Linked DNA regions of Stegostoma tigrinum. The protein of the gene in region 2 binds, or shares a complex with, the protein of the main gene of each other region. Links are inferred from orthologs where the notes say so. Each region holds a gene or a part of one and is shown on either strand. Other genes may lie near its edges. The genes, in order: pfdn6, uxt, pfdn2 and pdrg1.

What was found.
Region 1: uxt (region 2) and pfdn6 share a complex: the UniProt entries of both Homo sapiens proteins name them as parts of the PAQosome complex. The link is inferred for Stegostoma tigrinum from reciprocal best matches to the Homo sapiens genes UXT and PFDN6.
Region 3: uxt (region 2) and pfdn2 share a complex: the UniProt entries of both Homo sapiens proteins name them as parts of the PAQosome complex. The link is inferred for Stegostoma tigrinum from reciprocal best matches to the Homo sapiens genes UXT and PFDN2.
Region 4: uxt (region 2) and pdrg1 share a complex: the UniProt entries of both Homo sapiens proteins name them as parts of the PAQosome complex. The link is inferred for Stegostoma tigrinum from reciprocal best matches to the Homo sapiens genes UXT and PDRG1.

Annotation. Positions count from the first base shown.
Region 1 is NC_081387.1:28,276,637-28,284,201, forward strand, and holds the start of pfdn6 (prefoldin subunit 6), read right to left. Parts: upstream 3,030-7,565; 5' UTR 2,959-3,029; coding exon 2,895-2,958; intron 1-2,894. UniProt on the Homo sapiens protein: Binds specifically to cytosolic chaperonin (c-CPN) and transfers target proteins to it. Binds to nascent polypeptide chain and promotes folding in an environment in which there are many competing pathways for nonnative proteins.
Region 2 is NW_026728639.1:9,877-17,573, forward strand, and holds the start of uxt (protein UXT), read left to right. Parts: upstream 1-4,633; 5' UTR 4,634-4,694; coding exon 4,695-4,768; intron 4,769-7,697. Other genes in the region: ER membrane protein complex subunit 3-like, read right to left, coding at 3,011-3,162. UniProt on the Homo sapiens protein: Involved in gene transcription regulation. Acts in concert with the corepressor URI1 to regulate androgen receptor AR-mediated transcription. Together with URI1, associates with chromatin to the NKX3-1 promoter region.
Region 3 is NC_081399.1:9,851,083-9,858,217, forward strand, and holds the start of pfdn2 (prefoldin subunit 2), read left to right. Parts: upstream 1-4,000; 5' UTR 4,001-4,027; coding exon 4,028-4,197; intron 4,198-7,135. Other genes in the region: nit1 (deaminated glutathione amidase), read right to left, coding at 1,405-1,647, 2,149-2,237. UniProt on the Homo sapiens protein: Binds specifically to cytosolic chaperonin (c-CPN) and transfers target proteins to it. Binds to nascent polypeptide chain and promotes folding in an environment in which there are many competing pathways for nonnative proteins.
Region 4 is NC_081372.1:55,171,066-55,178,225, forward strand, and holds the start of pdrg1 (p53 and DNA damage-regulated protein 1), read left to right. Parts: upstream 1-4,038; 5' UTR 4,039-4,107; coding exon 4,108-4,194; intron 4,195-7,160. UniProt on the Homo sapiens protein: May play a role in chaperone-mediated protein folding.

The DNA.
Region 1 (7,565 bases), on a different chromosome or scaffold from region 2:
GTCTGTAGGAAGTGGGAGGAGTCAAAAGAGAAGTTGTTGAGTGTGAGGACGAGTTCAGCTAGGCGGATGAGAGTGTCGGTGGAGGGGGCCTGGTCGGGCCTGCGGGACAGGAAGAAGCGGAGGGCCTTGAGGCCACCTCCATGCGGAATGCAGGTGTACAGGGACTGGACGTCCATGGTGAATATGAGGTGTTGGGGGCCAGGGAATTGGAAGTCCTGGAGGAGGTGGAGGGCGTGGGTGGTGTCACGGACGTAGGTGGCGAGTTCCTGGACCAAAGGGGAGAAAATGGAGTCCAGATAGGTGAGATGAGTTCGGCGGGGCAGGTACAGGCTGAGACGATGGGTCGACCAGGGCAGGCAGGTTTGTGGATTTTGGGAAGGAGATAGAAACGGGCCGTGCGGGGTTGGGGAACAATGAGGTTGGAGGCTGTGGGTGGGAGGTCCCCTGAGGTGATGAGGTCATGAATGGTGTTGGAGATGATGGTTTGGTTCTCGGGGGTGGGGTCATGATCGAGGAGGCGGTAGGAGGTGGTGTCGGAGAGTTGGCGTCTGGCCTCGGCGATGTAGAGGTCAGTGCGCCATACTACCACTGCGCCACCCTTGTCTGCGGGTTTGATGGTGAGGTTGGGGTTGGAGCGGAGGGAGCGGAGGGCTGCCCGTTCTGCGGGGGAGAGGTTGGAGTGGATGAGAGGGGTGGAGAGGTTGAGGCGGTTAATGTCTCGACGGCAGTTGGAGATGAAGAGGTCGAGGGAGGGTAGGAGGCCTGGGGGTGGTGTCCAGGAGGAGGACTTGTGTTGGAAGCGGGTGAAGGGGTCAGTGGAGGGAGGGTTGGGTTCCCGGTTGAAGAAGTAGGCATGGAGGTGAAGACGGTGGAAAAACTGCTCTATGTCCGACCGTGACTGGTATTCGTTGATGTGTGGTTGTAGGGGGACAAAGGTGAGCCCCTTGCTTAGGGCTGACCGTTCGTCCTCAGTCAGTGGGAGGTCTGGGGGGAAGGTGAAGATGCGGCAGGGCTCAGTGTGGCTGTCTCCTCTGGGGTTGCAGGCTGTGGAGGTTGTGGGCGGAGCGATGAGGCCGTCGGCTGTGGGCGGGGTTCCGTCAGCCATGGGCGGGGTTCTGTCAGCCATGGGCGGGGTTTCGACCAGGCCCCCTCCACCGACACCCTCATCCGCCTAGCTGAACTCGTCCTCACACTCAACAACTTCTCTTTTGACTCCTCCCACTTCCTACAGACTAAGGGGGTGGTCATGGGCACCCGCATGGCCCCCAGCTATGCCTGCCTCTTTGTAGGTTACGTGGAACAGTCCCTCTTCTGCACCTACACAGGCCCCAAACCCCACCTCTTCCTCCGGTACATTGATGACTGTATCGGCGCCGCCTCTTGCTCCCCAGAGGAGCTTGAACAGTTCATCCACTTCACCAACATCTTCCACCCCAACCTTCAGTTCACCTGGGCCCTCTCCAGCACATCCCTCACCTTCCTGGACCTCTCAGTCTCCATCTCAGGCAACCAGCTTGTAACTGATGTCCATTTCAAGCCCACCGACTCCCACAGCTACCTAGAATACAGCTCCTCCCACCCACCCTCCTGCAAAAATTCCATCCCCTATTCCCAATCCTCCGCCTCCGCCGCATCTGCTCCCACGATAAGACATTCCACTCCCGCACATCCCAGATGTCCAAGTTCTTCAAGGACCGCAACTTTCCCCCCACGGTGATCGAGAACGCCCTTGACCGCGTCTCCCGCGACACATCCCTCACACCCCGCCCCTGCCACAACCGCCCCAAGAGGATCCCCCTCGTTCTCACACACCACCCCACCAACCTCCGGATACAACGCATCATCCTCCGACACTTCCGCCATATACAATCCGACCCCACCACCCAAGACATTTTTCCATCCCCACCCCTGTCTGCTTTCCGGAGAGACCACTCTCTCCGTGACTCCCTTGTCCGCTCCACACTGCCCTCCAACCCCACCACACCCGGCACCTTCCCCTGCAACCGCAGGAAATGCTACACTTGTCCCCACACCTCCTCCCTCACCCCTATCCCAGGCCCCATGATGACATTCCACATTAAGCAGAGGTTCACCTACACATCTGTCAATGTGGTATACTGCATCCACTGTACCCGGTGCGGCTTCCTCTACATTGGGGAAACCAAGCAGAGGCTTGGAGACCGCTTTGCAGAACACCTCCGCTCAGTTCGTAACATACAACTGCACCTCCCAGTCGCAAACCATTTCCACTCCCCCTCCCATTCTCTTGATGACATGTCCAACATGGGCCTCCTGCACTGCCACAATGATGCCACCCGAAGGTTGCAGGAACAGCAACTCATTCCGCTTGGGAACCCTGCAGCCTAATGGTATCAATGTGGACTTCACCAGTTTCAAAATCTCCCCTTCCCCCACCGCATCCCAAAACCAGCCCAGTTCATCCCCTCCCCCCACTGCACCACACAACCAGCCCAGCTCTTCCCCTCCACCCACTGCATCCCAAAACCAGTCCAACCTGTCTCTGCCTCCCTAACCGGTTCTTCCTCTCACCCATCCCTTCCTCCCACCCCGAACCGCACCTCCATCTCCTACCTACTAACCTCATCCCACCTCCTTGACCTGTCCGTCTTCCCTGGACTGACCTATCCCCTCCCTACCTCCCCACCTACACTCTCTCCACCTATCTTCTTTACTCTCCATCTTCGGTCCGCCTCCCCCTCTCTCCCTATTTATTCCAGAACCCTCACCCCATCCCCCTCTCTGATGAAGGGTCTAGGCCCGAAACGTCAGCTTTTGTGCTCCTGAGATGCTGCTTGTCCTGCTGTGTTCATCCAGCCCCACACTTTATTATCTTGGATTCTCCTGCATCTGCAGTTCCCATTATCTCTGTCTACCTTTCTGTAGCGCCTGGTACTTCTCCAGCTCCTGCTGCAGCTTCCTCTGGATCCCGTCCGCCATTTTTCACCGAACTCTGACCCCCGCCGCCGTGCGACTGACGTCTCGACGCCTGACCCCGCCCCTGACGCTGACATCACCCTTTCCCCGCTGCCGGCTAAGAACATCACCCTGACCCCGCGCCCGGCACAGACATCACTCTGACCCCGCCCCCGGCTGAACATCACCCTGACCCCGCGATAATAAAATGTGAGGCTGGATGAACACAGCAGGCCAAGCAGCATCTCAGGAGCACAAAAGCTGACGTCTCTCTGATGAAGGGTCTAGGCCCGAAACGTCAGCTTTTGTGCTCCTGAGATGCTGCTTGACCTGCTGTGTTCATCCAGCCTCACATTTTATTATCTTGGAATCTCCAGCATCTGCAGTTCCCATTAACCCTGACCCCGCGCCCGGCACAGACATCACTCTGACCCCGCCCCCGGCTGAACGTCACCCTGACCCCGCCCTCGGCTCTACCGTCACCCTGACCCCGCCCCCGACGCTGACATCACCCTTTCCCCGCGCCCGGCACGGACATCACCCTGACCCCGCCCCCGGCTCAACGTCACCCTGACCCCGCCCTCGGCTGAAACGTCACCCTGACCCCGCCCCCGGCTCGAACGTCGCCCTGACCCCGCCCCCCAGTGCATCCCTTTACACCGCCCCCTGCTGTTAGCCACTGACAGCCCCCAGTAATAATTACTCACCCTCCCGGCCTGATCATTACCAGCTCCTTTGCCTGTCCAGCTACTCTCTCTCTTTGGGCTCTATCCCCCCCTGCTCCCCCCGCCACCCTGTCTTCTGCATATAAACTAACATGTTCTTGGCCACCATCAGTTCTGTGGGAGGGTGGACCCGAAGCGTTAACTCTGATTTCTCTCCACAGATGCTGCCAGACCTGCTGAGCTTTTCCACCAACATCTGCTTTTATTTCCTGTCGGGTTTGCCCGGGAATCCTGTATGTTCCGATAAGGTCACCTCTCGTTCCAAGCTCCGATCAGTAGGGGCTCAAACTACCCAACGTCTCCTCAACCCAGGGTCAGACGTGTGAACCTTATCTGGGGCTGTCTCCAGTGGCAAGACCCTGTGAACCATGGCAGCTCCACACCGCCTTCAGGCAAAGCTCCTGCAGAACCCACTGATTGACTGATTGATTTGTTGTCACGTGTGCCTGAGTACAGTGAAAAGCCTTGTTTCTTAGCAGTACCAGCTAGATTGTAGTAAGCAAAGGGTGTACAGATCTAACAACATTTCAACCAACTGGATTCCAAAGAGCATCTCTGCCGCTGGATCCTGGTCTCCCAACTCCGTGATGGTCAGCCCTCATCGAATCAGAGAACCTTGGTTGCAGAAAAAGGGCCTATCGAGCCTGTAACTCTCTGTTTTCTATGAGTTGGTCAATCCTCTATTCATGCTCACATCACCATTGTCAGCAACTACTCGCTATCAGATTTGGTGGGGGTGGTGTGTGTCTGATTGTCCCCGTAAGAAATTCTGTGTCACTGGTCATGGGTCTGTGGTTCCTTGTGTGGCCAATGGGCCTGATCCTAGGGTTGCATCTCCAAATATACATTTGGCAGGTGTTTCCAGGAGATGGGATTGGCCTTTGGCATTTCTTTCTTCAGCTCCTTTTCTGTATTTCCGCTTACCTACATGTGCTTTCTGAGGATTGTGTCCCTTCACATAGGAGTTTCCTCCATTCAGTTTCTTCTGAATGAGGGTCTTCCACATGATAACATTTATGTTGCATTTCTTGAGGCATCTTGGGAAGTCTTTGAAATGCTTCCTTTGCCCTCCTCTTGTTCGTGTGCCTTTCTTGAACTGCGTGAAGATGATTTACTGTAGTAGTCGAAACTCAGACTTCCTAAGTAAGTGGCCAGCCCAGCGGAGTTGGTTTTGGATGACCATGGCCTCTGGTGCTGTTAGCTGCTTCAAGGACATTCATGTTAGTACGTCTGTCCTCAAAATACACAGAATCAATCTCAAACAGTGTTGGCGGTGCTTCTCAAAAGCTTTGAGAGTCTACACATAGTCGACTCTGAGCCATTATAGAAAAGTTAGAAGGGTGATTGCCTTAAATATCTCTTGGTATCAGTATGGATGTCATGGTCATCGAAGACTCTAATCCTTAGATGTGCCAAGGCGATACTCACAGATTGGATGTGGTGTTGGATCGCCGTATCAATGTCAGCCTTAGATGTGACTTAGCTTTCCAAGTAAAGGAAATGTTCCATTTTGATACAATTTTTCCATTGATCTAAATGGTGGGATGGACCAGAATTTTGCCTTGGGAAGGGCTGCTAGGAGACTTTTGAGTCTCCTAAAGGTTGACGCTGACACCAATTCATTGGTATGATTCCACTAAGACATTACGAGAGGCTTGAAAATTCTCTTCCGAGACAGCAGAGATGAGATTGTCGTCTTCATGCTGAAGTTCGACAAGCAAGTTGTAATATTTTCAACAGACAATAGGTGCTGGAGTAGGCCATTCGGCCCTTCGAGCCAGCACCACCATTCATTATGATCATGGCTGATCACCCAGTTTGGTGTCATATCCTTCTTAAATTTCAACTGACTGAGGTTGTCTATCCTGTAGACAATGTCCGCATTACTGAGAAGTTTGTTCTTAATAAGGTGAAGATTGGTAATGATGAAGATGAAGAAAATGGCAGCAGTGATGATAGACAGTAGGAACTGCAGATGCTGGAGAATCCGAGATAACAAGGTGTAGAGCTGGATGAACACAGCAGGCCAAGCAGCATCTTAGGAGCAGGAAAGCTGACGTTTCAGGCCTGATGAAGGGTCTAGGCCTGAAACGTCAGCTTTCCTGCTCCTATGATGCTGCTTGGCCTGCTGTGTTCATCCAGCTCCACACCTTGTTATCTAGCAGTGATGATATCCTGTTTGACTTCGAAGGCCACTTTTGGAATACAGCGTTTGATTCTGGTCTCCCTGGTACAGGGATGATATTGTAAAACTGGGAAGGGTTCAGAAAAGATTTAGAAGGCTGTTGGACAGCACGATGGTTCACTGGTTAGCGCTGCTGCCTCACAGCTCCAGGGACACAGGTTCGACCCCACCCTCGGGCGACTGTCTGTGTGGAGTTTGCACATTCTCCCCGTGTCTGTGTGGGTTTCCTCTGGGTGCTCTGGTCTCCTCCCACAGTCCAAAGATGTGCAAACTAGCTGGATTGGCCATGCTAAATTACCTTGTAGTGCCAAGGATGTGTAGATTAGGTGGATTAGCCACAGGAAATGTAGATTTACAGGGGTAGGATAGTGGAATGGGTCTGGGTCAGATGCTCTTTGGAGGTTCAGTGTGGAATTATTGGGCCAAATGGCTTTTTTCCACACTGTAGGGATTCCATGGATTTGCAGGGTTGGAGGGTTTGAGCTTTAGGGAGAGGGTGAATAGGGTGGGCCTACTTTCCCTGGAACTGAGGGGTGACCTTATAGAGGTTTATAAAATTATGAGGGGCATGAATAGGGTGAATAGAGAGGGTGAATATCGAAGAGCATATAGGGTTAAGGTGAGATGGGAAATATTTAAAAGGGAGCTGAGGGGTAACTTTTTCCCACAGAGGGAGGTGCGTGTATGGAATGAGCTGCCAGAGGAAGTGGTGGGGGCTGGTACAGTTACAACATTTAACAGGCACCTGGATGGGTATATGGATAGGAAGGGTTTGGGGGGATAGGGGCCAAATGCTGGGGAAAGGGATTGGATTAATGTAGAAAATCTGGCTGGCATGGATGGGTTGGATGGAAGGATCTGTTTCCGTGCTGTATCGCACTATGACTCCATTCTCTCAGGTTACCATCAGTGGGGACTGTTTCTCACATCTTGTTGTGGAGGAGACAGAGGATGTTGATGAACTTCACTGGACAGTGTCTTTCTGAACAGTTCCCCATGAATGTAGCGTCCCCAGCACCGAGGGTGCGTCTACCTCATCAAGCACTCTCTGCTTCTTCTCCTGTCCTGCTCAAGGAATTCTAATCTATCTGACAGAGCATCATTACACCTTTCATGAAACCATGTGTTCTGCACAGTCATATTATTCAATGCTAAATGCTCTGCTGTTTATTATCAGCTGGAACATTTTCTCCATTTGGAGTACAAATGGGAAGTGCTGGAGAAACTCAGCAGGTCCGGTAGAATTCAGACAGAGAGAAAAACACAGAGTTGACATTTCGGGTCCAGTGAACCTTCGCCTGAGCTGACAGAGCTGGGGAATGGTGGCACTTATGTCGGGGGATGGGAGTCAAGTATAGAATAAAGTGAATCAGCGTTCCCCCTTCTGCTCCTCTGTCTTATAGTCTTTTCTTCATAGTCTGGCATTTGTGTGGTGTGAATGTCACTTCTTGCTTCTCATTCCAGGCCTTGTTGCACTTGGACACGGACTGTTTCAGTATCTGAGGAGCAGCTGAACATTGTATAATCGTCAGCGAACATCCCCACTTCTGACCTTATGATGGAGGGAAGGTCATTGATGAAGATGGTTGGGCCGAGGACACTGCCCTGAGGAACTCCTGCAGAGATGTCCTGGAACTGAGATGACTGACCCCCAACAACCACCTTCCTCAGTGTCAGGTCTGACTCCAACCACCGGAGAGTTTGTCCCCGATACCCATTGA
Region 2 (7,697 bases):
CGCGGCTCACTCGGGGATAAGGCGGTTCACTCGGGGAGAGCGCGGCTCACTCGGGGATAAGGCGGCCCACTCGGGGAGAGCGCGGCCCACTCGGGGAGAGCGCGGCCCACTCGGGGAGAGCGCGGCCCACTCGGGGAGAGCGCGGCCCACTCGGGGAGAGCGCGGCCCACTCGGGGATAAGGCGGTTCACTCGGTGAGATCGCGGCTCACTCGGGGATAAGGAGGTTCACTCGGGGAGAGCGCGGCTCACTCGGGGATAAGGCGGTTCACTCGGGGAGAGCGCGGCCCACTCGGGGAGAGCGCGGCCCACTCGGGGAGAGCGCGGCCCACTCGGGGAGAGCGCGGCCCACTCGGGGAGAGCGCGGCCCACTCGGGGAGAGCGCGGCCCACTCGGGGAGAGCGCGGCCCACTCGGGGAGAGCGCGGCCCACTCCGGGGAGAGCGCGGCTCACTCCGGGGAGAGCGCGGCTCACTCCGGGGAGAGCGCGGCTCACTCGGGGAGAAGCGGCTCGCTCCGGGATAAGGCGGCTCACTCGGGGAGAGCGCGGCTCACTCGGGGATAAGGCGGCTCACTCGGGGATAAGGCGGCTCACTCGGGGAGAGCGCGGCTCACTCGGGGAGAGCGCGGCTCACTCGGGGAGAGCGCGGCTCGCTCCGGGATAAGGCGGCTCACTCGGGGAGAGCGCAGCTCACTCGGGGATTAGGCGGCTCACTCGGGGAGAGCGCGGCTCGCTCCGGGATAAGGCAGTTCACTCGGGGATAAGGCGGCTCACTCGGGGAGAGCACAGCTCACTCGGGGATTAGGCGGCTCACTCGGGGAGAGCGCGGCTCGCTCCGGGATAAGGCAGTTCACTCGGGGATAAGGCGGTTCACTCGGTGAGATCGCGGCTCACTCGGGGATAAGGCGGTTCACTCGGTGAGATCGCGGCTCACTCGGGGATAAGGCGGTTCACTCGGTGAGATCGCGGCTCACTCGGGGATAAGGCAGTTCACTCGGGGATAAGGCGGTTCACTCGGTGAGATCGCGGCTCACTCGGGGATAAGGCGGTTCACTCGGGGAGAGCGCGGCTCACTCGGGGATAAGGCGGCTCACTCGGAGAGAGTGCAGCTCACTCGGGGATAAGGCGGCTCACTCCGGGATGAGCGCGGCTCCCTCCGGGAGAGCGCGGCTCACTCGGGGAGGGCGCGGCTCACCCGGGGAGGGCGCGGCTCACTCGGGGAGAGCGCGGCTCACTCCGGGATAAGGCGGCTCACTCCGGGATAAGGCGGCTCACTCCGGGAGAGCGCGGCTCACTCGGGGATAAGGCGGCTCACTCCGGGATAAGGCGGCTCACTCCGGGAGAGCGCGGCTCACTCCAGGATAAGGCAGCTCACTCCGGGATAAGGCGGCTCACTCTGGGATAAGGCGGCTCACTCCGGGAGAGCGCGGCTCACTCGGGGATAAGGCGGCTCACTCCGGGATAAGGCGGCTCACTCCGGGAGAACGCGGCTCACTCCGGGATAAGGCGGCTCACTCCGGGATAAGGCAGCTCACTCCGGGATAAGGCGGCTCACTCCGGGATAAGGCTGTGCACCGTCTTATCGCAGATTCTCCAGCATCTGCAGCCCCCGTTATCTCTGGTTAACTCTGATCCTGGGTGACCGCAGTCTCGGTGAGTGTGTGTCGACCAGGTTTGAGACGGACCGGGCTCGCCTCCATCGGGATGGCGCGTACAGGCGGGACTGCGCCGCTGTTGAGTGCGAGAGCGCGCCGGTTACTATCGCGGCGAGGCTGGGGGGGGGGCGGGGGGGGGTGGAAACGGGCCCTGTCGCTGTCGGCCGGTGTTAGAGCCACGGTGGGGGTGGGGGCCGTCGCTGTCGGCCGGTGTTAGAGCCGCGGTGGGGGCCGTCGCTGTCGGCCGGTGTTAGAGCCGCGGTGGGGGTGGGGGCCGTCGCTGTCGGCCGGTGTTAGAGCCGCGGTGGGGGTGGGGGCCGTCGCTGTCGGCCGGTGTTAGAGCCGCGGTGGGGGTGGGGGCCGTCGCTGTCGGCCGGTGTTAGAGCCGCGGTGGGGGTGGGGGCCGTCGCTGTCGGCCGGTGTTAGAGCCGCGGTGGGGGTGGGGGCCGTCGCTGTCGGCCGGTGTTAGAGCCGCGGTGGGGGTGGGGGCCGTCGCTGTCGGCCGGTGTTAGAGCCGCGGTGGGGGTGGGGGCCGTCGCTGTCGGCCGGTGTTAGAGCCGCGGTGGGGGTGGGGGCCGTCGCTGTCGGCCGGTGTTAGAGCCGCGGTGGGGGTGGGGGCCGTCGCTGTCGGCCGGTGTTAGAGCCGCGGTGGGGGTGGGGGCCGTCGCTGTCGGCCGGTGTTAGAGCCGCGGTGGGGGTGGGGGCCGTCGCTGTCGGCCGGTGTTAGAGCCGCGGTGGGGGTGGGGGCCGTCGCTGTCGGCCGGTGTTAGAGCCGCGGTGGGGGTGGGGGCCGTCGCTGTCGGCCGGTGTTAGAGCCGCGGTGGGGGTGGGGGCCGTCGCTGTCGGCCGGTGTTAGAGCCGCGGTGGGGGTGGGGGCCGTCGCTGTCGGCCGGTGTTAGAGCCGCGGTGGGGGTGGGGGCCGTCGCTGTCGGCCGGTGTTAGAGCCGCGGTGGGGGGGGGGGGCCGTCGCTGTCGGCCGGTGTTAGAGCCGCGGTGGGGGTGGGGGCCGTCGCTGTCGGCCGGTGTTAGAGCCGCGGTGGGGGTGGGGGCCGTCGCTGTCGGCCGGTGTTAGAGCCGCGGTGGGGGTGGGGGCCGTCGCTGTCGGCCGGTGTTAGAGCCGCGGTGGGGGTGGGGGCCGTCGCTGTCGGCCGGTGTTAGAGCCGCGGTGGGGGTGGGGGCCGTCGCTGTCGGCCGGTGTTAGAGCCGCGGTGGGGGTGGGGGCCGTCGCTGTCGGCCGGTGTTAGAGCCGCGGTGGGGGTGGGGGCCGTCGCTGTCGGCCGGTGTTAGAGCCGCGGTGGGGGTGGGGGCCGTCGCTGTCGGCCGGTGTTAGAGCCGCGGTGGGGGGGGAGGGGGGGACCTGTCCGAGAGCTGCTCCAGCTCCGCTCTCCTCTCCCCCCGCAGCAGGCGACCGAGGTAATGGCGGATCAGGCCGAGGGAGACGCTCATCAGGACGATGGGGAGAACCACCCAGAGGCGGATACTTGAGTCGAGGAGCAGGAGCTCAGCCATGGCCGGGCAAGTGGTGGGGGGGGGGGGGGGGGGGTCTGGGTCTTGAAGCCTGGGGCTTTGGGAAGTGGGGGGAGTAGGCCTTGAAGCCTGGGGCTTTAGTGGGGGGGGACTAGGCCTTGAAGCCTGGGGCTTTATTGGGGGGGACTAGGCCAGGAAGCCTGGGGCTTTGGGAAGGGGGGAGACTAGGCCTTGAAGCCTGGGGCTTTAGTGGGTGGGACTAGGCCGGGAAGCCTGGGGCTTTGGGAAGGGGGGGACTAGGCCTTGAAGCCTGGGGCTTTAGTGGGGGGGACTAGGCCTTGAAGACTGGGGCTTTGGGAAGAGGGGGACTAGGCCTTGAAGCCTGGGGCTTTAATCGGGGGACTAGGCCTTGAAGCCTGAGGCTTTAGTTGGGGGGACTAGGCCTTGAAGACTGGGGCTTTGGAAACAGGGGGACTAGGCCTTGAAGCCTGGGGCTTTAGTGGGAGGGACTAGGCCCTTGAAGCCTGGGGCTTTGGGAAGAGGGGGACTAGGCCTTGAAGCCTGGGGCTTTAGTGGGGGGGGAACTAGGCCTTGAAGCCTGGGGCTTTAGTGGGAGGGACTAGGCCCTTGAAGCCTGGGGCTTTGGGAAGAGGGGGACTAGGCCTTGAAGCCTGGGGCTTTAGTGGGGGGGGGAAACTAGGCCTTGAAGCCTGGGGCTTTAGTGGGAGGGACTAGGCCTTGAAGCCTGGGGCTTTGGGAAGAGGGGGACTAGGCCTTGAAGCCTGGGGCTTTAGTGGGGGGGGGAAACTAGGCCTTGAAGCCTGGGGCTTTAGTGGGAGGGACTAGGCCTTGAAGCCTGGGGCTTTAGTCGGGGAGGGGGGACTAGGCCTGAAAAGCCTGGGGTTTAGGCCCGGGGCCTGGAGATGGAGCGACGGTTAGAAACCGATTCAAGTTGTCACCCCTGACCCGGTAGTGAACGTCTGTGTTTTCCCGCCTTTGATGGACGGCGGCGATAAAAGTAATGAATTTATTTTAATTTTGTTTCTGTTCGAAAACGGTTTCGACCTTTATTTGTTTTTCGTTGCAAAGAGAAATATTTCCAGAAGTTTTTATTTCTTTTTAACAGGGCGAACCAATCGTCTCGCCGTTGCCGTGCCGACTCCGGCCAATCGGCGCCCGTGTCTCATTCGTCCTTCACAGTTCGGCCGTTAGAATGAGATCTTACAAAAAGTGGGACAACCCCAGCTCCGACCAATCGGAAGCGAGGAGCTGTTGTTTACCCCCGGTCGTCATTGGTCCGCAAGCGACCAATGAGAGACTGCTTATGTGGCCCCCATCCCCAGCCACGCGTCGTCCTGAGACCAATCCGAAAAGCGGAGCCGGGGTTTGCGGGCGGCCATTGCGACCAATTAGAGGCCGGTGCGCTCGGGCTGCGCATCACCATTGGCCTGCATCTGACCAATCAACGGTGCGGAGAGGTGGACCTCGCTCTTTATTGGTCCGTTAGCAGTCACTCAGAGGTGTTTGCACAGGCCGGGGCCAATCGGCTGCGTTTGTGTCACGGCGGCGCAGTAATGGCTGAGGGAGCAGGGCGGAAGGTTCTGGAATATGAGGCTTTTGTCAATGACGTCTTAAAGAGAGACCTGAAGTGAGTGGGGGTCAGGGGTCAGTGGGAATCTAGGGGTTCGGGGGCGTCACTGGGAGATGGGCCACGTGACTGTTGTTCCAGTCACATGGCAGAGTCTGGGGTCACGTGTACTCAGACCGTGGTCACGTGTCTATCTCGGACCGGGGTCACGCGTCCCTCTGGGGGCGGGGTCACGTGTATATCTCAGACTTGGGGTCACATGACCCTCTGGGGCCGGGGTCACGTGTCTATCTCAGACTTGGGGTCACATGACCCTCTGGGACCATGGGTCACGTGTCTATCTCAGACTTGGGGTCACATGACCCTGTGGGACCGGAGTCACGTGTCTATCTCAGACTTGGGGTCACATGACCCTGTGGGACCGGAGTCACGTGTCTATCTTAGACTTGGGGTCACATGACCCTGTGGGCCGGGGCAACGCGACCCTCTGGGGCCGGGGCAACGCGTCCACCTGGGACCGGGGCAACGTGACCCTCTGGGACCGGGGCAACGCGACCCTCTGGGACCGGGGCAACGCGACCCTCTGGGGCCGGGGCAACGTGACCCTCTGGGACCGGGGCAACGCGACCCTCTGGGGCCGGGGCAACGCGACCCTCTGGGACCGGGGCAACGCGACCCTCTGGGGCCGGGGCAACGCGACCCTCTGGGTCCGGGGCAACGCGACCCTCTGGGACCGGGGCAACGCGACCCTCTGGGGCCGGGGCAACGCGTCCACCTGGGACCGGGGCAACGTGACCCTGTGGGGCCGGGGCAACGCGTCCACCTGGGGCCGGGGCAACGCGACCCTCTGGGGCCGGGGCAACGCGTCCACCTGGGACCGGGGCAACGTGACCCTCTGGGACCGGGGCAACGCGACCCTCTGGGGCCGGGGCAACGCGACCCTCTGGGACCGGGGCAACGCGACCCTCTGGGACCGGGGCAACGCGACCCTCTGGGGCCGGGGCAACGCGTCCACCTGGGGCCGGGGCAACGCGACCCTCTGGGACCGGGGCAACGCGACCCTCTGGGACCGGGGCAACGCGTCCACCTGGGGCCGGGGCAACGCGACCCTCTGGGACCGGGGCAACGCGTCCACCTGGGGCCGGGGCAACGCGACCCTCTGGGACCGGGGCAACGCGACCCTCTGGGGCCGGGGCAACGCGTCCACCTGGGGCCGGGGCAACGTGACCCTCTGGGACCGGGGCAACGCGACCCTCTGGGACCGGGGCAACGCGACCCTCTGGGACCGGGGCAACGCGACCCTCTGGGGCCGGGGCAACGCGTCCACCTGGGGCCGGGGCAACGCGACCCTCTGGGGCCGGGGCAACGCGACCCTCTGGGGCCGGGGCAACGCGACCCTCTGGGGCCGGGGCAACGCGACCCTCTGGGGCCGGGGCAACGCGACCCTCTGGGGCCGGGGCAACGCGACCCTCTGGGGCCGGGGCAACGCGTCCCTCTGGGACCGGGGCAACGCGTCCACCTGGGACCGGGGCAACGCGACCCTCTGGGGCCGGGGCAACGCGACCCTCTGGGGCCGGGGCAACGCGACCCTCTGGGGCCGGGGCAACGCGACCCTCTGGGACCGGGGCAACGCGACCCTCTGGGGCCGGGGCAACGCGTCCACCTGGGACCGGGGCAACGCGTCCACCTGGGACCGGGGCAACGTGACCCTCTGGGGCCGGGGCAACGCGTCCACCTGGGACCGGGGCAACGCGACCCTCTGGGGCCGGGGCAACGCGTCCACCTGGGGCCGGGGCAACGCGTCCACCTGGGACCGGGGCAACGCGACCCTCTGGGACCGGGGCAACGCGTCCACCTGGGACCGGGGCAACGCGTCCACCTGGGACCGGGGCAACGTGACCCTCTGGGGCCGGGGCAACGCGTCCACCTGGGACCGGGGCAACGCGACCCTCTGGGGCCGGGGCAACGCGTCCACCTGGGACCGGGGCAATGCGACCCTGTGGGACCGGGGCAACGCGTCCACCTGGGACCGGGGCAACGCGACCCTCTGGGACCGGGGCAACGCGACCCTCTGGGACCGGGGCAACGCGACCCTCTGGGGCCGGGGCAACGCGACCCTCTGGGGCCGGGGCAACGCGTCCACCTGGGACCGGGGCAACGCGTCCACCTGGGACCGGGGCAACGCGACCCTCTGGGACCGGGGCAACGCGACCCTCTGGGACCGGGGCAACGCGACCCTCTGGGACCGGGGCAACGCGACCCTCTGGGGCCGGGGCAACGCGTCCACCTGGGACCGGGGCAACGCGTCCACCTGGGACCGGGGCAACGCGACCCTCTGGGGCCGGGGCAACGCGTCCACCTGGGACCGGGGCAACGCGACCCTCTGGGGCCGGGGCAACGCGTCCACCTGGGACCGGGGCAATGCGACCCTGTGGGACCGGGGCAACGCGTCCACCTGGGACCGGGGCAACGTGACCCTCTGGGACCGGGGCAACGTGACCCTCTGGGACCGGGGCAACGCGACCCTCTGGGGCCGGGGCAACGCGACCCTGTGGGACCGGGGCAACGCGACCCTCTGGGGCCGGGGCAACGCGACCCTGTGGGACCGGGGCCACACGTCCACCTGGGACCGGGGCCACGCGTCCACCTGGGACCGGGGCAACGTGACCCTGTAGGACCGGGGCAACGCGACGCTGTGGGACCGGGGCAACGCGACCCTGTGGGACCGGGGCCAGGCGTCCACCTGGGACCAGGACCGGGGCCACGCATCCACCTGGGACCGGGACCGGGGCCACGCGACCCCCTTCAGCCCACGCCCCAGCACCGCCCCCTCCCCAGGACACACACCAGGGAAAGCCCGCAGCGACCGGGCCCAGGGCTGGTGCCAGTATTCTGAGCCTCAGCATCGCTTCTGCAGCCCCCTGAGTGACGTTCTCTGAGGGTCTGCACTGCAAACCCGCCGGGGGGCGGTGGTGGGGGAGAGACGTGA
Region 3 (7,135 bases), on a different chromosome or scaffold from region 2:
CACCTTGGTATGTTACTGCAACTCATATTGTGCTCCAAATTCAGTTATCTCGCTCAAATAGTGACAGGGAGTCAACAAAGTGTGCGGCTGGATGAACACAGCAGGCCAAGCAGCATCAGAGGAGCAGGAAAGCTGACGTTTCGGGCCTAAACCTTTCATCAGACAGCCTCTCTGATTGAAGGGTCTAGGCCCGAAACGTCAGCTTTTGTGCTCCTGGGATGCTGCTTGGCCTGCTGTGTTCATCCAGCTTCACACCGTGTTATGTCGGATTCCCCAGCGTCTGCAGTTCCCATTATCGCTAGTGACGGAGAGTGTTCAACACCTCTGCTTTGTGAGTGAGTGAGCGTGTGTGGGTGCTCAGGGCAGGTTTACTCAAAGAAACCTACAGCACAGAAACAGGCCCTTCGGCCCTCCAAGCCTGCGCCGATCAAGATCCTCTGTCTAACCCGACATCTATTTTCTAACAGTCTGTGTCCATTTGCTCTCTGCCCATCCATGTACCTGTCTAGATACATCTTAAAAGATGGTATCGTGTCCACCTCTACCACCTCGGCTGGCAACGTGTTCCAGGCGCCCACCAGCCTCTGTGTGAAGAACTTTCCAGGCATATCTCCCTTAAACTTTCCTCCTCTCACTTTGAACTCATGACCCCTAGTAATTGAGTCCCCCACTCTGGGAAAAAGCTTTTTGCTATCCACCCTGTCTATACCCATCATGATTTTGTAGACCTCAATCAGGTCCCCCCTCAATCTCCGTCTTTCTAATGAAAATAATCCTAATCTATTCAACCTCTCTTCATAGCGAGCACCCTCCATACCAGGCAACATCCTGGTGAACCACCCTTGCACCCTCTCCAAAGCATCCACATCCTTTTGATAATGTGGTGACCAGAACTGTACACAGTACTCCAAATGTGGCCGAACCACAGTCCTATACAACTGCAACATGACCTGCCAACTCGTACTCAATACCCCGGCCAATGAAGGAAAGCATGCCATATGCCTTCTTGATCACCCTATTGACCTGCGTTGTCACCTTCAGGGAACGATGGACCTGAACACCCAGATCTCTCTGTTCATCAATTTTCCCCAGGACTTTTCCATTTATTGTATAATCAGTGACAGACTTTTGAATGATTGTGAACCAGGACCAACTGCAACGCTCACCATTGTAGCAATTTTCTGATTGACTTCTGGGCAAGCTGCTGCAGCTTGGTGATTGCGCGATACAAAATAAAACTCTAACATGCGAAGGAGAAAACTTCCTCCTTGAGAGGAAAATGGACGGGGGAGAGACACCTTCAGAGACACTGGAAGGTGGTCAACGTGGGGGAAGAGAGTGAGGGTAAGAAGGAAGAGTGGCGTCAGAGGCAGGAAAGGGAGAGGTGCGAGGGAGCACGGGTACCTGGCCATGCGGAAATACCGTTGGATGAGATCGCCCTCCAGGGTCTCTGCCTGGCTGAGTGTCTGCTCCTGAGATGAGGCAACATAATCAAAGGCTTCAGGGAGGAAGAGGAACTTGGCCCCTCGCTCTGCCCCCTCCCTCACCAGCGCCTGACACTCAGCAAAATTTCTCTCCTTGTCCCCCGTGCTGTTCAGCTGGCACACTCCAATCAAACTCCTCTTCAGCGTCGCCATCCCTCGCAACCTGTCCAAGACAGAGAGAGAGAGAGTGAGTGTCGCATAGAGACACACCTTCCCTCGAACCTCCTTCAAACCAGCTTCCAACATTCCTCAAGAAAAGACATCAACCGCAAACTTGCAGACGGGAAAAGACGTTGCCAAACTGGGATACTTTCGACTCCCAGGCACTCTCAGCGAGCCGCTCCCACGTTCCTTCCGGCGCCCAGTCCTTCCTCACCAACACCCACCACCTCATCTACCCGAGAAAGAGCAACAGGGAAACAAGAGCGTAGGAACAAATGGGTCGCTCGCAGAGTGGGAACGGTCAATACTGCCAGCCTGAGCAGCCGGCCCCGAACTATCCACAACTAACATCAGTAATTTGCAGCAAGGAATCCAGTGTGAGAACTGGGTGGGGGCTGTGAGCAGTGAGGAGGTTACAGGGCAATTTAGCGAGTGGACAAATACAAGTACCGTCACACAGAGAAAGGGCAAATTGTCAGCTTTGGTAAGGGTTTAAACAAACCCCAGAATCACAGAGTCTGAGTTAAGCATTGATAGACCAGGAAAGCTCGATGCACAAAAGGGTCCTGGGTGTCCCTGTCCTCTGGTCATTGGGAAGCACACAGGCAGAGCTCAGGAAGCGAAGGGGGGTTAGCGGAGGGGGAATAAGTGATGGGGAGGGGAGGGATGTGAGGGATGGAGATTGGGGGGATGGGATTTTGCATGTGTGGGGTAGGGGGATGTGTGGCTGGGGAGGGCTTGTGAAGGCTAGGAGATGTGAGGGATGGGGGTGTAGGCTGTGGGGTTGGTGATGTTGGGAAGAGGGATAATGGGAATGGGGGGGCAGTTACTGGGGGTGTATGCTGATGGAATGGATCAGGGATTAAGGGGGTAGGGGTTGATGGGAATGGGGGTAAAGGGAGAGGGGTGATTACTCGGGTCTGAGATAAAGGGGGTAGGGGATGATGGGAATCAGGGTAAAGGGGAGGGGTGGTTACTGTGGGAGGGCAGATGATGGGGAGGATAAAGGAAATTGGGGTAATGCAGGAGGAGAGATCACTGGGGGATGATGGGAAGGGAGTATAAGGGGATGGGGGTGACGGGAAGTTGGGTTAAGGGGATGGGGGATGATGGGAAGTGAAGTGGATAAACGGTTGGGGGATGATGGGAAGTGGGGTATATGGGGCATGATAGGAAGTGAAGTGGATAAAGGGTTGGGGGATGATGGGAAGTGGGGTATATGGGGGATGATGGGAAGTGAAGTGGATAAAGGGTTGGGGGATGATGGGAAGTGGGATACATGGGGTTGAGGGATGGGAGACAATGGGAAGGCGGGATAAGGGGATGGGGGAACGATGGGAAGGCGGTATAAGGGGATGGGGGTGACGATGGAAAGGGGGGGATGGGGGATAAGGATGATGGGGGGGTGATAGGGGGATGGGGATGATGGGAAGTTTGGGGATAAGGGGATGATGGGAAAGGGGGTAAAAGGGGGACAGTTACTGGGGGCACATGATGATAGAATGGGGAAGGGGTGGTTACTGGGATCAGGGATTACCCAACCCTAATCCTAATCCTAATCCTAACCCTTTCACACAGGGATGATGGGAATTGGGATGGGGGAATGTTGGGAAGGGGATGGGGGGAATGAGGGGATAGGGAATGATGGGAAGGGGATGGGGGAATAAGGGGATAGGGAATGATGGGAAGGGGGACGATGGGAAGTGGGGGGATAGGGAATGATGGGAAGTAGGGGGATAAGGGGATAGGGAACGATGGGAAGGGGACGGGGGAATGATGGGAATTGGGATGAGGGGAATGTTGGGAAGGGGATGATGGGAGGGGGGATGATGGGAAGTGGGGGGATAAGGGGATAGGGAATGATGGGATAGGGAATGATGGGAGGGGGCGGTTACCAAGCAGCCAACGTCACGCGGAGGCTGAGAGAGAACATGCCCCTGCGCCCAGTGTCCGTGGAAACCCGCTCAGGGGGCCTGACGCTGAATTAGCCGCCTATCTACCTGCCTGCTGTCAGATATGGACACACCTTTGAGGGGAGGGGGAGGACAAACTCGGCCCGAACACCATTCCCACAATGCTACAACATTCAGGGAAAATTTCGCCGAAGTTTTTTCTGGAGGGGGGGGGCGCAGAAAAAAGACGGCTTCACAAAATGATCGGCGTGAAAAGGGGTTGGATGTGAAATTGAGAGCCGGTTCACGGTTTATTGATTTATTTCGGTGTGTCGGCGGGGTTTTGTTTACGCTGCGTTTTTTTTATATGTAACTGGTTGACTTCCCTCCCGCTGTTGATGTGAAAGCCCAGTCAGGCGGTATCCGCGGGCACCACCCACCGTCTCTATAAAAGGAGGCCGGAGGGCCCCGCCCCTCTCCAGTGGTGGGATGGAGGGACCCGGCGCGGTAGGGATGCTGTCGGGAGGCCGGGCCCAACAGGCCCAGGCCGCCGCCCCCACACCCGAGCAGGTGCTGGCCGGCTTCAACAAACTGCGGCAGGAGCAGCGCGGCCTGGCGGGCAAAGGGGCCGAGCTGGAGCAGGAGGTGGCGGAGCACGGGTAACGGGACGGGGAGGGAAGAGAGAATGGAAAGGGTTGGGTGGGTGGGCGGGTCGGGGTTTGATTATATATAAATGGCACAGGCCCTTGGCCCATGATGTTGTGCCCAACTTTTACCCTAATCCTAAGGTCTACCTAACCTCCACCCCTACCTTATACTTCCATCCATATACCTGTCTAATAGCCGCTTAAATGCCCCTAATGAGGCCGACTCTACTCCCCTCTCCGACCACTCTCTGAGTAAAGAACCTCCCTCTGATGTCACCCCTATATCTACCTCCACTCACTTTAAATCTATGTCCCCTCATCATAGCTACCTCCACCCTAGGAAAAAGTGTCTGGCTGTCCACTCTATCTATATCTCCGATCATTTTGTACACCTCTGTCAATCACCTCTCATCCTTCGTTGCTCTAAAGAGAAAAGCCCTAGCTCTCTCAACCTTTCCTCGTAAGACCTTCCCTCCATTCCAGACAACATCCTGGCAAATCTCCTCTGCACCTTTTCCAACACTTCCACATCTTTCCCTGTAATGAGGCAACCAGAACTGGACACCATACTCCAGATGTGGCTGAACCAGGCTTTTGTATAGCTGGAGCATAACTTCACGGTTCTCAATCCCTCTATTACTGAAAGCTCACACACCGTACACCTTCTTAACAACTCTATCCACCTGGGTGGCAGCTTTCAGGGAACTGTGGACATGAACCCCAAGATCCCTCTGCTCCTCCACACTGCCAAGAACCTTTCTGTTAACCCTGTATTCTGCTCTCAAGCTTGCCCTTCCAAAATGAGTCATCTCTCACTTTTCAGAGTTAAACTCCATCTGCCACTTCTCAGCCCAGCTCTGCATCCTATTAATGCCCCTTTGTAACCGAGGACAGTCCTCCGCACTATCCACAACACAACCCACCTTCATATCGTCCGTGAACTTACTAATCCACCCTTCCACTCCTTCATCCAAATCATTTACAAAAACCACAAATAGAAGAGGACCCAGGATAGATCCTTGTGGTACACCACTCGTAACTGAACACCATGTTGAATGTTTTCCATCCACTACCACCCTTTGCCTTCTAAGGGTCAGCCAGTTCTGAATACAATCTGCCACATTACCCCCTATCCCATGCCTCCTTACCTTCTGCATGAGCCTATTACGGGGATCCTTATCTAATGCCTTACTTAAATCCATGTATACCACATCCACTGCTCCACCTTCATCCACGAGTTTGGTCACCTCTTCAAACAATTCAATAAGGTTTGTGAGGCATGATCTGCCCCTCACAAACCCATGCTGACTATCACAAATCAAACTGTCTTTCCGAGTGATTGTGAATCCTATCTCCGAGTCCGTTCCAATAATTTACCCACCATTGAAGTAAGACTAATTAGCCTGTAATTTCCAGGGTTATCCTTATTCTGTTTTTAGAACAGGGGAACAATGTTCGTCTCTCTCCAGTCTTCCGGCAGTATACCCATGGACAGTGAGGACGAAAAGATCATTGCCAAAGGCCCTGCAATCTTGTCCCTCACTTCCCATAGAATCGTTGGATGAATCCCATCAGACCCGGGGGACTTATCTGTCTTCAACTTCCTCAAAATTCCTAGCATATCTTCCTTACTGACATCGACTTCCTCTAGTCTACCAGCCTGTTTCACAATGTCTTCCTCTACAACTAGGTTCCTCTCAGTTGTGAATACTGAAGAAAAGTATTCATGAAGGACCTCTCCTATCTCTTAAGGCTCAGTGCACAAATGCCCTTTACAGTCCATGATCGGCCTTGCCCTATCTCTGGTTATTCTCTTATTCCTCACGTATGTGTAAAAAGCCTTGGGGTTTTCCTTGATCCTATCTGCTGAGGTTTTTCTCATGCACCCTTTTAGCTCTCCTAAGCCCTTCCTTCAGCCCCTTCCTGGCTAACTTGTATCCCTCTAGAGCCTTTTCCGTTCCTTGTTTCCTAAACCTTATATAAGCCTCCTTCTTCCTCTTAACCAGACGTTTGACCCCTCTTGACTGCATCTTCTCTGCCTGCTAGGGACAAACACATCAAGCACACAAGCAGTCTGCCTTCTTTAAACAATCTCCGCATTTCAATAGTGCTGTTCCCTGACAGCATCTGTTCCCCTTTAATGTTACCCAGTTCTTGCCTAACAGAATTAATGACCCTTGCCCCAATTGTAAACCTAACCCTGCTTTACGTATCTATTCTTTTCCATGACTGTTGTAAAAGTAACAGAGTTATGATCGCTATCGCCAAAATGCTCTCCTACCCACAGGTCTAACACTTGGCCCGGTTCATTGCCAAGCACCGTACCTAAAGTGTCCTCTCCTCATGTTGCTGTATGTACTTACCGTGTCCGGAATCCTTCCTGAATGGACTGGACACAATCCGTTCCATCCCAACTATCAACTAACATGTTCCCAATCAATATTTGGAAAGTTGAAGTCACCCATGACTTGTAACCCTGTGACTTCTGCACCTTTCCAGTATCTGCCTCCCAATCCGCTCCTCCACTTCTCTGCAACTATTAGGGGTCTGTTTATATAAAAAAAACCCCAACAAAATGACAGCTCCTTTCTTGTTCTGGACCTCAACCCAAACTGACTCTGTAGACACATCATTCTTGAACTGCCTTTTAGTAGCTGCTATACTCCCCCTGACTAGCAATGTCACTCCCTATTTCTTCCAAAGCATCTAAATCCCGGGACTTCCAACAACCATCCCTGTCCTGGAGTTACCCAAGTTTCTGTAATGGCCACGACCCGTAATGATTGATGGAGTTAACCTGGGTGGGGGAGTCTGTAGATGTGGTTTATTTGCATTTCCAGACAAAAGTCCCACATAAAACATATTAACTTAAAGGGCATGGGAGCATATTGAGGTGGTTAGAAAATGGTTTCCAGTCTGCTAATGAAAGAGTTGGAATCAATGGATTTTT
Region 4 (7,160 bases), on a different chromosome or scaffold from region 2:
CAACTATTAGCGAGACACTGCTCTGCAGCTCCCGGCTCACATTAGCGAAGCGCCCCCTTCGACCACAGCTTTTATAAAGTGTCCGTACCTGTGCACTCTGGGAGATGTAGTCGCCTTGCAGCACGTACTATGAGCTAAACATAACAATTTAAGAAACTGGAACCGGAGTAGATTACTTCAGCCTCTCGAGCCAGCTGTGCTATTGACTACGATCATGGATGATCTACTTATTCATATTCCATCTCCCATACTCTTCCAATATCCTTCGATTCCTTGAGTACACAGTAATCTATGGATCTCTGACGAATCTTGGACTAAGCACACATCCTCCTTGGGGTAAAGAATTTCAAAGATTAATAACCCTTTGAAGGAATACATTTCTCCTGATCTCAGTCTTAATTGTCCCACCCCTTATTTGAAAGCTATGTAGACACATCCAAGTCAGAGAAAAATCATTTCAGCAGCTATCATATCAGTTCATTTTAAGATTGCGTATGTTTTAATGGATCACTTCTCATAATTCTACATTCTAAGCAGTATGGACCAAATCAATCTTTCCATATAACACTCAAGATATGGTTCTCGCTAAGGCTTTTACAACTGCAGAATGAAACAGGCAAAGGATAATACCTTATATTTGTAATTGTACACCAAATTAAGCAGTGTAGTTAAACTAAAGGGGGACTGCAATGAAATAAAGGAACTTGAAGAATAGATATATGATTAACAAATGAAGGTTAGCACAGATAAGTGTGAGATGCAACAACACAAGCATACATCAGAAAATGCAAGTTAGTCAGGATTAGGGCCCTCAATCTGTTTTGTCATTTTACAAGATCATGACTGATCTGATTGTTGCCCTAATTCCCCTTAACTGTTTGCTCCCAAAACCATTTAATTCTTTTGCTCTTAAGAATGTTTCCACCTTGGCCTTAAAAATGTTCAAAAGATCCAGCCTCCACCATTCTATAGGGAAGAGTTTCACATGCCCATAATGCTCAAGTATTTTATAAAAGTTCCTCTTCATCTCCATCTTTGGAAACACGTCCCCTAGTTCTCTCTGACACAGGGAAATATCCATTCAGAATCCACCTGTTAAGTTCCCTTAGGATGTTAGCTATTTCAATAAGATTACCTCTCGGTTTTCTAAACTCCTATGGACGCCTCTGACAGAGTTCAACCTTTCCTTATATGGTGACACCTCATCCCAGATCTGAGTTGAATGGGTTTTCTTATCAGAATTGCTTCTAGTATAATGCTGACAGGTTTCTTAAATAAGGAGACAAAAACTTCATACTTTATCCAGATGCATTCCTTCCAAAGCCTGGTAGGAAGAATTGAACATGTCAGTCTGGGGGAGGCAATGGTCTAGTGGTATTTATCCCTGGAATGTTTCTCCAGACACCCAGATAATGTTCTAGGGACCCAAGTTCAAATCTCACCATGGCAGATGGTGGAATTTGAATTCAATAAAAATATCTAGAATTAGGAATCTAATTGCAGATTGTCATTGAAAACCCAACTGGTTCAAGATGTCCTTTAGGGAAGAAAACTGCCCTCCTAGGCCTGAAACGTCAGCTTTCCTGCTCCTAAGATGCTGCTTGGCCTGCTGTCTTCATCCAGCTCCAAACTTTGTTATCACGGAATCTCCAGCATCTGCAGTTCCTATTATCTCTACTATCCTTACCTGGTCCGGTCATGTGATTCCAGACCCACAGCAATGTGGTTGACTCTGAACTGCTCTCTGGGCAATTAGGGATGGGCAATGAATGCTGCCTAGCCAGCGAATGCCCTCATCCCATTAATGAATAATAACAAAATTACAAATGCACAAATCACTAAAGTTAGGCCATAGGTTAGCAAGGTGATAAAAGAAGAAAATCAAACATGAGTCTTTATTTCAAGAGGTATAATATTGAAAAGTTGGAAAGGTTATTTGAAACCCTTATTGAACATTGATAAGTATAAGACAGCATCTTTTAGGATGAGGAATAGAGAGAGTACATATTGCCTGGAAACAAGAAAAGAGTGTTCACTGGATTGGAGAGCAGAGGCTTTGGAGTTATAGACAGACACATTTTTGACATTATTAATACAGATTAATAAATCCACAACAGCACAAACCAAGCACAGGAGTTTGTTTCATAAGGGATAAAATTGAAAAGCAGAGATATAACATTCTTTATGAAGATTTGTTGAAATTTAGTTAAATTGCGATTGGGAATACTGTGAACAGTTCTGCTTTCCATATTATAAAAATAATATAAAGGTACCAAGCATATAAAGGCAAATAAAGATTAACAAGTGTAACACCTGAACTGAGGTAATGTCATACAAAGGATTTACAGACACTGAATAAAATGTTAAAAAGATTTACACAAATAATACCAGAGCTGAGCATTTATATCTGTCAGCAGTCATTGAATGTGTAGATTTTCTTCCGCGAGAAAAAAGACCTTGAGGTTTTTAAGTTATGAAAGGGAAGTCATAGAGATGATAAACTCCAGTTGCAGCAGAATGTATGATCATCCAAATAAATTAAATAAGGTTAGAATCTTAGAGTCATACAGCACAGAAACAGACCCTTCAGCCCAACTCGTCCATGTTCACCAGGTTCCTAGATTGAACTAGTCCCATTTGCTTATGTCAGGTCTGTATTCCTCTAAACCTTTCCTATCCATATACCTGTTCAAACGTCTTTTAAATGTTGTAATTTTGCATGCCAGTTCCTCTGACAGCCCGTTCCAAATCTGCAGCACCCTCTGTGTGGAATAGTTGCCCGTCAGGTCCCTTTTGAATCTTTCCTCTCTCATCTTAGACGTTTGCCCCCTATTTTTGGACTCCTCTACCTGGTGAAAAGACCTTGGCTATTCACCCTATCAATGCACCTTACGATTTTATAAACCTCTATAAGGCCACCACTTAACCTCCTTTGGCCAGGGAGAAATAAAGTTCCAGCCTCTACTTATAACTCAAACCCTCCAGTGCTGGACTTCAAACGTTAACAATGTTGCTATAATTTCTCCAGCGTTCTCTGCGTGTAAGAATTCAGGATTCACTTTTTCATCCAGAGAGAGTGGTCAAAACGAGGAAGGTACTGCCACATAGGATGGTTAAAGTGACGAAGAGGAAGCCAGAGAAACACTTAGAACAGAAAAGGAGAAAAGGACTGAACCTAAATAGTGGGCTGGATCAGAGATAATGGGAACTGCAGATGCTGGAGAATTCCAAGATAATAAAATGTGAGGCTGGATGAACACAGCAGGCCAAGCAGCATCTCAGGAGCACAAAAGCTGACGTTTCAGGCCTAGACCCTTCATCAGAGAGGGGGATGGGGAGAGGGAGCTGGAATAAATAGGGAGAGAGGGGGAGGCGGACCGAAGATGGAGAGTAAAGAAGATAGGTGGAGAGAGTATAGGTGGGGAGGTAGGGAGGGGACAGGTCAGTCCAGGGAAGACGGACAGGTCAAGGAGGTGGGATGAGGTTAGTAGGTAGCTGGGGGTGCGGCTTGGTGTGGGAGGAAGGGATGGGTGAGAGGAAGAACCGGTTAGGGAGGCAGAGACAGGTTGGACTGGTTTTGGGATGCAGTAGGTGGGGGGGAAGAGCTGGGCTGGTTGTGTCGTGCAGTGGGGGGAGGGGACGAACTGGGCCTCATCCCACCTCCTTGACCTGTCCGTCTTCCCTGGACTGACCTATCCCCTCCCTACCTCCCCACCTATACTCTCTCCACCTATCTTCTTTACTCTCCATCTTCGGTCCGCCTCCCCCTCTCTCCCTATTTATTCCAGCTCCCTCTCCCCATCCCCCTCTCTGATGAAGGGTCTAGGCCCGAAACGTCAGCTTTTGTGCTCCTGAGATGCTGCTTGGCCTGCTGTGTTCATCCAGCTTCACATTTTATTATTATAGTGGGCTGGATCGTTTGGAAGAAGCCCAGAAAGGACTTCAATTCCCAGGATGCTGCGCGGTTGAGTCTCGTCACAAAAGATACCGTTGATTGGCAGTATATTCACCAATCACACGGGGAACTGGGCAGCGCCAATGAAACGGGTGGAGCTCTGTTGATTGACAGCTCGGGCGGAGACGGTTAGAAGTTGGTTCAGGGTGAAGATGGCGCGGAAGCCGGAGGAGGAGGTGGTGAACTATCTGACTGAGGTGGAGGAGCTGGCGGAGAGTTTGCTGGCTGATAAACAGCAGGTACAATGGCGGCCTGTGTTTCGGGTTGGGTTGGCGTGGATCGTCGGCGCTGAAACGTTCGTTGTTGACCATGCCTATACTGCGCTTACTACTGGACCTGGCACCAAGTGTCCCTGCCGGGTATAGGGCCATCATCAAATGTGTTTGTGTTAAATGTCAGCCTACCCAGGGACTTAGACCTAGTTCAGGATTTTCTTAAGGTTACCATGTAGGTTCAATTTGCAGTTAGGAAGGCTAATGCAATGCTAGCAGTCTGTGTAGTATAGTAATTTGTTGTCACTTGTATTTGGGAAAATACAGGTGAGAAGTGTTTAAGTTGCCATGTTCTGGTTACCATTTTTAATGACAAAATATTAAAAAAGAAATGTTAAGATAGATAGAAAGATGCACCATGTCAATAGATTACTCAACTCAAGTATCAGAGTAAAAGGGTCAAGGACTTAGAGAAATATTTCTCACCAGAAAAACATAATGCATTGGATAATGGGAGCAACCTTGACTAATTTCTACCCTTCCTAAATGAGGGTCTTGTAAGGGTAGTTGCAAACCTTTCTACTTCTGGAAGAGCAGAGATGTACTGTTGAGGCTGTGTGGGGCCCTAGTGAGACCACATTTGTAATATTGTTAACAGTTGAGGGCCTGCAATCTAAGGATGTGCTGGCATTGGAGGGGCCCAGAGGAAGTTTCCAAGAATGATCCAAGAGATGAAAGGCTTGTTATGTGAAGAGTGGTCTGAACTCAATTGATTAGAACGATGACATGTGAATTTTATTGAAACATGTAGAATGCTGAGAAGTCTGGAAAGACTGAACATGGAGAAGGTGTTTCCACTAGTAGGAGTAGACTAGGACTCTAACGCACACTCTTGAACTGAAATGAGGAGGATTTCTTCAGCCAGAGATTTATTTAATCTGTGGAATTCACTTCTGCAGAAGGTTGTGATGGCCAAATCATAGAGTGTATTTAAGACAAATAGCTAGGTTCTTGATTGTTAAGGGGATCAAGGGTTATAGTGAGAAAGCAGGAGAATGGTGAGAAATATATCAGCCATGATCAAATCACTGAGCAGACTCTGTGGGCCGAGTGGCCTAATTCTGTTCCTGTATCTTATGTTCTGAGGCATGAGCATTTGAAAGGATTTGGCAGAAACCTAGTTTAGTCGTTTACCGCTAAATGAAGCTGGACCAGATAAGCTCCTATCTGGTCCTGCTGTTTTCTGAAAGTTGCTTACTCCAGGATAATCTTGGAGATAATAGATAACACCTGGCTTTTTCCTCTACTGTAACCAGTTTCCGCAGCTTTCAACTGCAGTGATTACCACAAATTTATGGATATTTCATCACTAAGTTTGAGATCATCTGATCACCTACCTCTGCCACTTTTTCTTTCTTTGAGACAAACTGGAACAGATGCTCTTCCATACCCAAGCCCTGTTATTTCTTCCTTCCCCACCTTCTCTCCTGTCTCCTATCATGGCCTGACCAAACTCAACTTGGCCATGAGACCAACCTGTTCTTGAACTGCTCCAGCGTAAAGGTGGCTAAATCCCCAGGACCTGACCAGATGTACCGTAGAACATTTTGGGAAGCTAGAGAAGTGATTGCTGGGCCCCTTTCTGAGATATTTATATCATGAATAGCCTCAGATGAGGTGTTGGAAGACTGGAGATTAGCTATTTGAAGAAGGTGGTAAGGAAAAGTCAGGGAGCTATAGATCAGTGAGAAGAAACACAGAGGAGCAGGATTTAGATGTATTTGGATAGGCAAGGACTGATTAGGATGTTTAACATGGCTTTGTGTGTGGAAAGTGTGTCTAACCTAACTTGATTGAATTTTTTTTGAAGAAGTAAAGAACAGGAATGATGAAGGCAGAGTGGTGAACATGATCTATGTGGACTTCATTAAGACGTTCAACAAAGTTTTACATCGTAGGCTGGCTAACAGTGTTAGATCATATGGAATGCAGGAAGAACTAGCCATTTGGATACAGAACTGGCTCAAAGGTAGAGGACAGTGGGTGGTGGTGGAGGGTTGCTTTTCAAACTGGAGGCCAGTAACCAGTGGTGTGCCACAAGGATCAGTGCTGAGTCCACTGCTTTTTGTCATTTGTATGAATGATTTGGATGTGAACGTAGGCATGGTTATTAAATTTGCAGATGATGCCAAAATACGTGGTGTACACTGAAGAAGGTTACCTGGGAGTACGATGGAATCTTGATCAGATGGGCTGGTGGGATAAGGAGCAGCAGGTACAGTTTAATTTAGATAAATGTGAGGAGTTTGGAAAGGCAAGTTGGGCAGGGGTTACAAACTAAGTGGTAAGGTCCTGGCGAGTGTTGTTGAGCAAAGAGACTTTGGAGTCATGTTTCATAGTTCTTGAAAGTGGAGTCACAGGTAGATGGGATAGTGAATGTGGCGTTTGATGTGGTTGCCTTTATTGGTCAATGCATTGAGTATAGGATTTGGAAAGTCATGTGGCTGTATAGGGCATTGGTTAGCCGCTATTGGAATACTGCCTGCAATTCTAGTCTCCCTGCTATAGGTAAGATGTTGTCAAACTTGAAAGGGTTTAGAAAAGATTTACAAGCTTCTTGCCAGGGCTGGAGGGTTTGAGCTATAGGAAGAGGCTGAATAGGCTGAGGCTACTTTCCCTGGAACATCAGAGGTTGAGGGGTGACGTTATAAAGGTTCATAAAATCATGATAGTGTGAGTAGACAAGGTTTTTCCCTAGACTGGGGCTTTCCAAAACTAGAGGGCATAAGTTTAAGGTGAGAAGGGACATATCTAAAAGGATGTTCTGAAGAAGTATCACTGGATTTGAAATGATGATTCTAATTTCTCTTCACAGATGCTGCCAGACCTGCTGAGTTCATCCAGCAATTTCAGGTTTTTTTTCCAGATTTCCAGCATCCACAGTTTTTCATTTTATTTTAATGTGTTTCCTTTACCTGATTTAATTGGAGTGT